2 linked regions of the Drosophila melanogaster genome follow. The protein of the gene in region 1 purifies or fractionates together with the protein of each later gene. This does not show direct contact. Each region holds a gene or a part of one and is shown on either strand. Other genes may lie near its edges.

Region 1 (5,505 bases):
TGCACACGCAACAAAACGTGGAGAACTACAAGGCGGCCATCGCGGAAGCGAAATCCTTAGGAGGAACGGTGGCCTTCGGAGGTAATGTCATCCAGCGGGATGGTTTTTACGTAGAGCCCACAGTGATCACTGGATTGCCGCACGATGCCAGCGTTGTCCATCGCGAAACCTTTGCACCAATTGTGTACATCCTCAAAGCCAAAAACGTGGACCAGGCCATCGAATGGAACAATGAGGTGGAACAGGGCTTATCCTCTGCCATTTTCACGGAGAACATCGGGCAGGCGTTCAAGTGGATTGGAGCCAAGGGTTCCGATTGCGGTATAGTTAACATCAACACCACCACCAACGGCGCCGAGATTGGTGGAGCTTTCGGAGGCGAAAAAGCCACTGGAGGAGGTCGCGAGTCCGGATCCGATGCCTGGAAGCAGTATTGCAAGCGGGCCACCATTACAGTCAATCACTCCGGAGAATTGGCCTGCGCCCAGGGTGTTGTCTTCAATGTGGAGTAGAAAACACATACGATCAATTTTAATGTGCTACAATTTACAATACTATTACATATAATGTCCAAAACTAAATGCAACTGATATAATTCTTCCTATTCCGTGCCGATTTCAAAGCGCCAGAAGTCCACCTCAATATCCTTCGACTTCTGCTTGTGAAACTTGTAGCTGGCGTCGATGTTGTACCGGAGTTCGGCGACCACTGAGCCGCGGGCGCCCCATTCCAGTGCCTTTTTCTGAATGTACGACCTGCGAACAATTAAAATCGATATTTAAATTGGCTTTGATGTACTATTCCACAGTTGTTTAGGCTTGGCTATTCTTCCATAAAAAACAGGAAGGGGTCGAATAATAAGATACCCTTTTAATTAAAGAACTCATCGTTTTAATATGAGTAGCATATATATTTTAAAATATTTAATTTCCATAATTTCTCACTAAAATCTAAACTATTGATGGAACGTGCTGCATCTTATCCACATACTTTATGTGTAAAGCAGCTGCAGGCAGTTGGGACCGCTGCGGCAGCAACCACCCCCGCAGACAGGAACCACTGCATCTCTGGGAATGCGGCGGCAAAGGCTGGGCGGACCGCGGTAGTCTCTTCGGAAGCACAGTCTCTCGCACACTGTCCCGCCAGCGGACACTCGAATGGGGGTGAGACGGCATTGGCCGCTGCCCAGGATTTGCGCATCAGTGGGCATGGGGGCCAGAAGAATCGCCAGCACCACAGTGATGATTAGAAGGCTACGTGAGAGGATCATCTTGCTGCTGACTTCTAGTTGCTATCTGTAACTTGTTGGTGTTTCTGCGGCGTTTTATAGTTGTGAGCAGCGCTCTTAACAAAACAACAACAAAAGCAGAAACAGCGGTAAGGAAGCACATTTACCGAAAAGCGGGTACAATTGTATCTCTTGTTTACTGTGCCAATAACAAAAGATTGCGCATCTGTTTATACCAGCAGATATTCTTAAAGTATAAATCTGCATATGTACATTCATATGCCGAATATTGAGTATCAATATATTTTAAAATATATACCTATATATAGACCAGTAAGCATACTACTTGAGTATCTGTTTAACCAAGAGATCTACACTATTAAACAAGAGAGAATGGTATAACCAAGATTTCGAATATCAGATACGCCGCTCATCTAGAGGGATTGCTAGAGAGGAATTCCAAATTTTGTTTAGATATGGATAGAAATTGTAAAGGAAATAAGATAAGTTATATCAAAAGATTTTTTCAAAACGTTGGTTATACACGGCTGGTAATCCTAATTAAAAATATACTTTGTAAAGCGGAAATCGCTTCCCTCTACCTGTTACATTCTTTGCAAGAAAACTTAAGTTTTCCTCTACGAATATCGATTATAATCAATTTTATACAGACTTACCGTGTTGACGTCTTGTGTAGGGAGTAAACTGCTCTGTTGGCCAACCGTAGGGCCACCTCCAGAAACCGCATGTCCATGCCGGCATTGTGTTTCGTGCCGAATGGGGGATTCATCAGCACCGTGTCAAAGGACTTCTCCCACTTGCTGCCGATCAGCTGCAGCACATCCGCCCGCACGCAGTCAACATTGGGTAGCTCCATCTCCACCACATTGCCCCTAAAGGTGTCCACGGCATCGCCGTCCAGTTCGAAGCCCACCGTGAGCTGGGCGCCCAGCAGAGTGGAAGCAATGCTGAGCATTCCGCAGCCGCAGCCCAAATCTCCCACCAGCTTTCCCTCGATGTCCTCGTGCTGCGACTGCATGTGATGAGCCATGCACGCGGCTATGTGCGGCGGAGTGGGGTACTGTTCCAACAGGATCTTGGGCTGCTCGAAACCGTCAACGCCCTGCAGGTACTCCTCCAGTTTCCTCAGCTTCAACCGGGCCATTGTGGATCCGGCTATTTGCTGATACTGTGGCTGGGCGGAGCGTTCGGAGTAGTGGGCGTGGTCGCAGGCGACGGCAGCGGCTCCAGACGAGGCAGCACGGGTATAAAGCTATTTCCAAAATACGAATCCTGAGGTATAAAGAAGCCCAAAGTCGTAGAGCTCGTTGGATTAAATGCAGAGCGGGCGGTGGATGTGGCATTGGTGGCAATGCCCACGCCCGCCTGGAAGTCTGGATTCACTGTCGTCGGCTGTCCCAGCAACTGGGGTGCGGGCATCTACGATAGAAGACCAGGTAAACACATTTTCCGATCGGCATGTTCCCAACGAACTCACCTGGTTCGGCGGACTCAGACCAAGGTTTATGATCCCGCCCGCGAGCAACTGCTTCTTCGTCTGGATCTCTTCGAGTATCTTGCGGTTCGTCTCGGCTTGCTGGGCACTTGTGGTGGGAAAAGCCATCAAATAAACTAGTAAAAGTCTGAACTATATCAAAAACTTCTTGTAGACTGCTGCTCCTGCCGCTGCCTTTGGCATTTTGCGAGCAGTGTGGTCACACTGGCGAGTACTGTAGTGTGGCGGAAATAGTAGCGGTATTCGAACTGAACCAAATGTGCGAATAAACAAAAAATCTGCAACAAACAAGAGTGTTAAGCGAATATTGAATTTGTGCTTAATATATATATAATTTGTATTTAATACAAATCAAATATTAATAATATTGGTGACCTTTTGGTGCCACTTAAGTTTGAAGTATTATTAGCATTCCTCTATTTGGTCACTCTGCAAGTCTTACAACGTGAGCAGACAACAACAAAATTACATGTTTATTTGGAATAATCACAAAAAACAAAAAACTTACCAACTTAGTGGAATAATCTTAGGAAATATCTATTAATTTGCGCGCAATCCGTGCAAAACAAGTGAAGCAACATGAGTATGAGCGACGACGACCGCGACATAGACATCGAAAGTGACGTAAGCAAGGCGTAGAGGAAAATACTGATACGTGTGTTTAATATTGATTTTAATGCCAAATTAACGACTTTTTAGGAGGACGGGGACTCGGACACTGGCTTGGGATCCTCGCGACACACAAACACCGCCAATTTCACCCAGGTGACTATCCATCATGCATAAACTGAGTGGGAAAAAGCGACTGCGCACATTGCCTTTTGTTGATAAACAGAACGCACACGTGTTGTTGTTGCTGTTACAGAATCGTGATTACGATACAGCAGAGTTCACAGCAATAGGATTCGTAATCGAAAATAATCTTAGAGGGACTGAATATATTATATATTACTATTTACTAACTTATCTTTCTGTTCATATTGCTTTGAGACCATTTTGTTCCATTTTTGTTATTATTTCCATACTCTGCTGTATTTACGATGGAATTTCCTATATGCTAATTTTAATGTTTGTTTCAAGGCCGAAAAGCGGGCGCACCACAACGCTTTGGAGCGAAGGCGGCGCGATCACATCAAGGAGAGCTTCACCAACCTGCGTGAGGCGGTGCCCACACTCAAGGGCGAAAAGGTAATCCAGAAGAGCAACAGGTGACACAGCCGGGCTCATTTTCTGCCAAGAAAATCCCATAAGTCCATACCAGTTCGTTTTACAATAAACTACATTATTGCTTGTCAAATTAAGCAAATCGCATAAAATATATTAAAAAAATCCACACCCTGTGTGATGAAGCTAATAAGAAGTAGTAATAAGTTAATAATACATATCTTTTGTTACAGGCGAGTCGAGCTCAAATCCTGAAAAAGACCACCGAATGCATACAGACGATGAGGCGGAAGATCAGTGAAAACCAGAAAGACATCGAAGAGATCAAGAGGCAAAACAACATAATAGCTAAGCAGAGTGAGCAACTAACTACTACAGGTTATTAATGAACTTCCTGCTAAGATACTTTATATACTTTCCAGTACAAGCACTGGAGAGTTCAAATGGGGATCAGTTCAGCGAATTTCTCAGCGACGAGGAAGTGGGCAGCGAGGAGGCCGACGACGAAGACCTCGACCAGGACTTCAGTAGACGCAATAAAAAGATGAAGACCTTCCACGCATAGCCGCTGATCCAATCCAAAGTGCTGCTTACAGGCGTGTTCCGGCTTCCGTTTTCACCGACATTCTGAATTCTTACGTGGATTTAGTTCAACTTTGAGTTGTGTTATACGAAAGCAATAGCCCTCGAAAAGTTGTGAAGGAAACGGTTCCAAATTCGAATTAAAGTGAAAATTAAAATTATGTGGAAATGAGAACAGTAACAAGTCCGATAATCATAATCATCATTAGCTGTAAGCCCAAAATGTAACCCACCCAATCGACCTTAATTTGTATGCGTGCGTCTTTTCTACTTTCAACAAATTGTCACTCTGTGCGCAAAGAATAAAGTAAACTAGTAAGTACATATTTTTAGAAAAAAACAGGGGCTTCTTGTTGATGAATTCTATTATGGAAATTGGAAAATATAACGGACCAATTGAGTAACATGAGTGCTGCTTTTGAAGAAGTTTATAAATGATAAAAGGATTGACATTTTATGCGATTAGGGCTAAATAAAATCAGCAATTTTTGCAAGTAATTTGATCACTTGATACTGGAACCTTCCCTTATTTATATCTGGAATCTCCTTTTGCTTATTACTCGAGAACTATAAAGAACGAGCTGAAAAAACTTTAACGTACGTATCTGTCTTTCTAATATTGGTTTGAACTTAAGAAATATATTTAACTTTATGGTTTTAAGCCAAAAGTGAACCGCATTCCGAACCAAATACAACCTTCGACTACACTAAACCATACAAATATGTGGGTATATATTTTATAAAATTACCAACAACTACTTAAACTTTAGGGTTATCCAGAGGATTAAGAACACGACGAGGATGAAGAGGAACATGTAGCACATTTGGCGAGCACCACCGCCCTGTTTGGCCAGTCGCACCACCCGCGTCATCGCGTTGCCCAGAAATCCACTCGTCCGGTCCATGTCGTCGTCGATGCCGCGCAGCAGCTTGTCCTGGTAGCGCACCTCATTGCCTATATCGATGGTGAGGGACTTCAGGGCCCCGATCTTCTGCTTCAACTCCTCCGCCGCCT
Region 2 (3,551 bases), 2.0 Mb from region 1:
TTCTCAAGGCACATTTTGGCTTGGCATTTATTGAATTTGCCCCTCTCCTTCAGCGGCGCATCTTCTCCAGAATGGGAACCACCATGTCGAACTTGGGCCGCTTGCCGGGATCCTCGTTCATGCAGATTGAAATCAGCTTGGCCATGTGCGTCGATGTGCCTGGCGGAATCTTGACCCGCAGACCTTCCAACGCAATTTTCATGCCGCACTCCATGGGCGACCACTCGGCGAAGGGTACCTCGCGCGTAGTCAGCTCCCAAATAAGAATAGCAAAGCTCCACATGTCACAGGCCTCCCAGTTTCGATCCGCCTGCTTGCGCTGCAATGTTTCCGGCGACATCCAAGCCGGTTGATAGATGCGTCCCTTCTCTTGGAAAGAGAATTTGGCATCGCCCATGTTGATTCTCGCCGTCAGATCATCGTCGATCATCACGTGATGACTGTTCAGGTGATATGTTGGAATAATGCGCTCCAGCGAGTGCAGGAAAGCCATTCCTCTCGCAACATCCAAGGCAAAGCTTACCGCCTGGCTGGTGTCCACCACGACGCCAGTTGCTCCATGCAGCAGGCTAAACAGCGAAGAACGTGGCATAAACTAAAGAAAATAGAATGGTTACCTTATACGGTCATTTCTGAAGTTATTTAAATTCAACGCACCTGACTAATTGTCACCAGATTGGGTGGCGAATTGCATGCTCCAATAATAGGCAAAATGTTAGGGTGCGAAAAGATGCGGAGCTTGGGAAACTCCTCGTTAAAATCTCGCGATATACGAGGCGTGCACTGACGCACGGCCAGGATCTTAGCTACCACATCGTTCTTTTGCCAGCGTCCGCGCCAAGTTTCTCCTGATGGCGTCACCGACAGCTTGGTATGCAGGTCTAGGTCTCCCATACTGATTCCCTTGAAACGGGACAAAGTAGCATCCCGGGATCTCGTCTTCAATCCCTGCCAGCTTTGTTCCTTGAAGCTGATAACCTTAACCTCTCTGCCGCTCTTTTCTACAAGATCCTGAAGCCTCTTGGCCAGACTGGGTTTGGCCTTTTCAAGAGGTGTGTGCCCGTCCTTGTTTGCGATTCCCACCTGGGCTCCCGCATTAAGCAGATCCTCGCAGATCATGTCATAGCCCCAAAAACAGGCGTAGTGCAGGGGGGTGTTTCCATGCTCGTTTACCGCATTCACATCGCTGCGCTCTTTTATCAACTGTAGAGGCAGATAAGTTCTTAAATAAGTTACCTAGCTGGTTTCTGTTTTATCTCACCATCTGGACCACGTCGCGGTGGCCATGAGCTGCCGCTAAATGGAGTGGGATGTCGTCGCCCATATTGGTGGCGTTCACACGCGAACCGCGCTGCAACAGAGTCTCCACAAGCTTGGCGTGGCCCTCTTTAGCCACCCAATGCAACGGGCTGAAGCCATGGTCGTCTCTAAAGTGTACGAATTTATTTGTTTTATTTATTTTAATTATGGTGGAATTTGAGCATTATAGACCTTATATACTTATGCTCTTAGAGTTAGGTATGGTCCTTTTTAAAGGATTATAAGACTAATTATAAGTAAAGAACAATATAAACATGGCAAGCGGGTTTTATGCTCGCGATATGCACACAGGCAAATATGAACATACGTATACTTATATATTTGATTCGTCTGTTTACACAACACAAGAATAAATCATGACGTCACTTAGACTTGAAAGACCCTCGAAATCTTGGGCGTATTTAGGCGATGACTAAGTAAACGTTCCTGGTAGAGGGGGTTGCTACTTGAGGGCTTAACTTTCTAAGTGCACTATAAAGCAACTAGAAAGTGATGGAGTTAGTTGCCTCTATTGGATTTACCCCAAATTGTTGTCGTGCTCCGTTTCATCCAACCAGAGGCGCACTTGAATCGAGTTGCCCTCGCGGCACCAGTGGAATATGTCCTCCATTTTTACTCCTCACTCCTTTATTCCGCTCGCAGTCACTGATATTATAGGTTTTCCAACCTAATTTACATCTAGAAACAGATTTAAACGCTTAAAATGCGACAGTTGTGAGAATTCCAATTAAAATTTGTGCAGTGTGGACGTTTTAAATATTTAACACACTGCTCGCGTTGCCAACTGCTGCAAAACATCGACAAGTGTGTATCGTGGTATCGATGACATACACCAATTGTGAATGTTTAAAGCAAGAAGAAGAAGGAATACAACGTGCACCGCAACTATTATTTAAAAACATTGTTGTTTACCTCATCTCTTTGTATTAATTAAACCATTACAAGCCCGAAAATGAAACTCAGCACATACAACTTCTTGACCTCCGTGGCCATCAAGGGCGTCAAAGTGGGATTTCCCCTGAAACTGACGGTGAGTTCCGGTGTCCCAAGTCCTGGCTATTGATTGTTTCACGGTCTATTTGTTTTTGCATTTAGATTAACAAAAAGGAAGTGGTGGAGAGCGAATTTAATCCAACTTTTGTGGAGAGAATCCTTCCCAAGCTGGACTGGTCAGCGGTCTATGGAGCTGCTCAGGTGGTAAGTGATAGAATGGTTCTAAAAGAACCATAGAATGGTTCTAAATAGTGTTACTGATTTCAAATTTACTGGTTTCAAATATTTTTAATCAGTTTTAAACTATTAAAACCTGTTATTTTTTATATTCGTTAATAATTGGAATTTGTTTTTTAGGCGGAACTCACAGAAGACATTCCTGCCGTTCAGCCTGAAAACATTGTGGAGAATGAACTGCTTTTGCAGAAGCTTCACCATCTGCTCTTCGAGATCGACGTGCTCGAGGGTCAACTGGAGTGCCCGGAGACAGGTCGTGTGTTTCCCATCAGCGATGGTATACCAAACATGCTCCTTAACGAGGACGAGGTCTAGATTACACCCATGTGCTTTTTGTACCATAATCCCCATAATCCCCTTTCTCCAGACGCGCATTAATATTAAATAAGTTTGTTAGTTTTAAAGTTTGTTTATTTACGAGTTACTAAAAACAATTGGAGCTTGGATGGAATGTGACTTCGTTTTTTTTTTTTTTTTTTTTTTTTTTTGTTGAGTCTACGTACTCGTGTGGTATTTGGTAGGTGTTTAAGGATAAGAGCAAAAAACACTACGACATATATAAATCGTAAGTCTGAACATGTGGAGGGTGGTGCTTGGCTACTAAGATTCATCTTCACTTCTTTGGCACTCTGGGGGAGGTTCCAGATGAGATACTCCCGCCTAGTTGCATTTGATGTTGGCGCTCTTGTTGCTGCCTTGGGCGTAGATGCTGCCCTTCGCCAATCCGGACTGGGGTCCTTTGCAGAGTTCCGATTTCCCACCCCTTGGCTTATAGGTGCGATCTGTGAGAAGACTAGCATTAGGTCCTTGAGTGATCTGCTTTTGAAGAAGCTTCGTGTTGGGTCCATTCCAGGTGACATAATCGGCTCTGAAAATAATTTTAATTATATTCATAGATGAGTCTTTGTTTTTATTACTTCGACATTAAGTTGAACTACTTACAGCAAAAGATTTTCATCTGCACCCTTGCTTAGCTGGGAATTGGGTCCCAAACTGGCCAT

The links.
Region 2: the proteins of Mettl5 (region 1) and Trmt112 purify together in Drosophila melanogaster (affinity purification with western blotting; one study listed by BioGRID). This does not show direct contact.

What each region holds. Positions count from the first base shown.
Region 1 is NT_037436.4:19,261,844-19,267,348, reverse strand, and holds Mettl5 (methyltransferase like 5), read right to left. Parts: upstream 3,584-5,505; 5' UTR 3,510-3,583; coding exon of another isoform or gene 3,444-3,509; 5' UTR 3,369-3,443; coding exon of another isoform or gene 3,324-3,368; 5' UTR 3,253-3,323; exon of another isoform or gene 3,165-3,252; intron 3,023-3,164; 5' UTR 2,853-3,022; coding exon of another isoform or gene 2,727-2,852; intron 2,669-2,726; coding exon of another isoform or gene 2,405-2,668; 5' UTR 2,394-2,404; coding exon 1,906-2,393; intron 1,289-1,905; exon of another isoform or gene 1,271-1,288; coding exon of another isoform or gene 992-1,270; exon of another isoform or gene 756-991; coding exon 602-755; 3' UTR 513-601; downstream 1-512. Other genes in the region: Aldh7A1 (aldehyde dehydrogenase 7 family member A1), read left to right, coding at 1-512; CG45081 (uncharacterized protein), read right to left, coding at 992-1,270; CG42374 (uncharacterized protein), read right to left, coding at 2,405-2,668, 2,727-2,852; Max, read left to right, coding at 3,324-3,368, 3,444-3,509, 3,825-3,932, 4,142-4,265, 4,331-4,473; Bet1 (blocked early in transport 1), read right to left, coding at 5,246-5,505. UniProt on the Drosophila melanogaster protein: Catalytic subunit of a heterodimer with Trmt112, which specifically methylates the 6th position of adenine in 18S rRNA.
Region 2 is NT_037436.4:21,215,443-21,218,993, reverse strand, and holds Trmt112 (tRNA methyltransferase subunit 11-2), read left to right. Parts: upstream 1-2,154; 5' UTR 2,155-2,272; coding exon 2,273-2,350; intron 2,351-2,415; coding exon 2,416-2,517; intron 2,518-2,670; coding exon 2,671-2,865; 3' UTR 2,866-2,999; downstream 3,000-3,551. Other genes in the region: Ilk (integrin linked kinase), read right to left, coding at 50-595, 658-1,203, 1,262-1,427, 1,842-1,930; CG10508 (uncharacterized protein), read right to left, coding at 3,211-3,418, 3,493-3,551.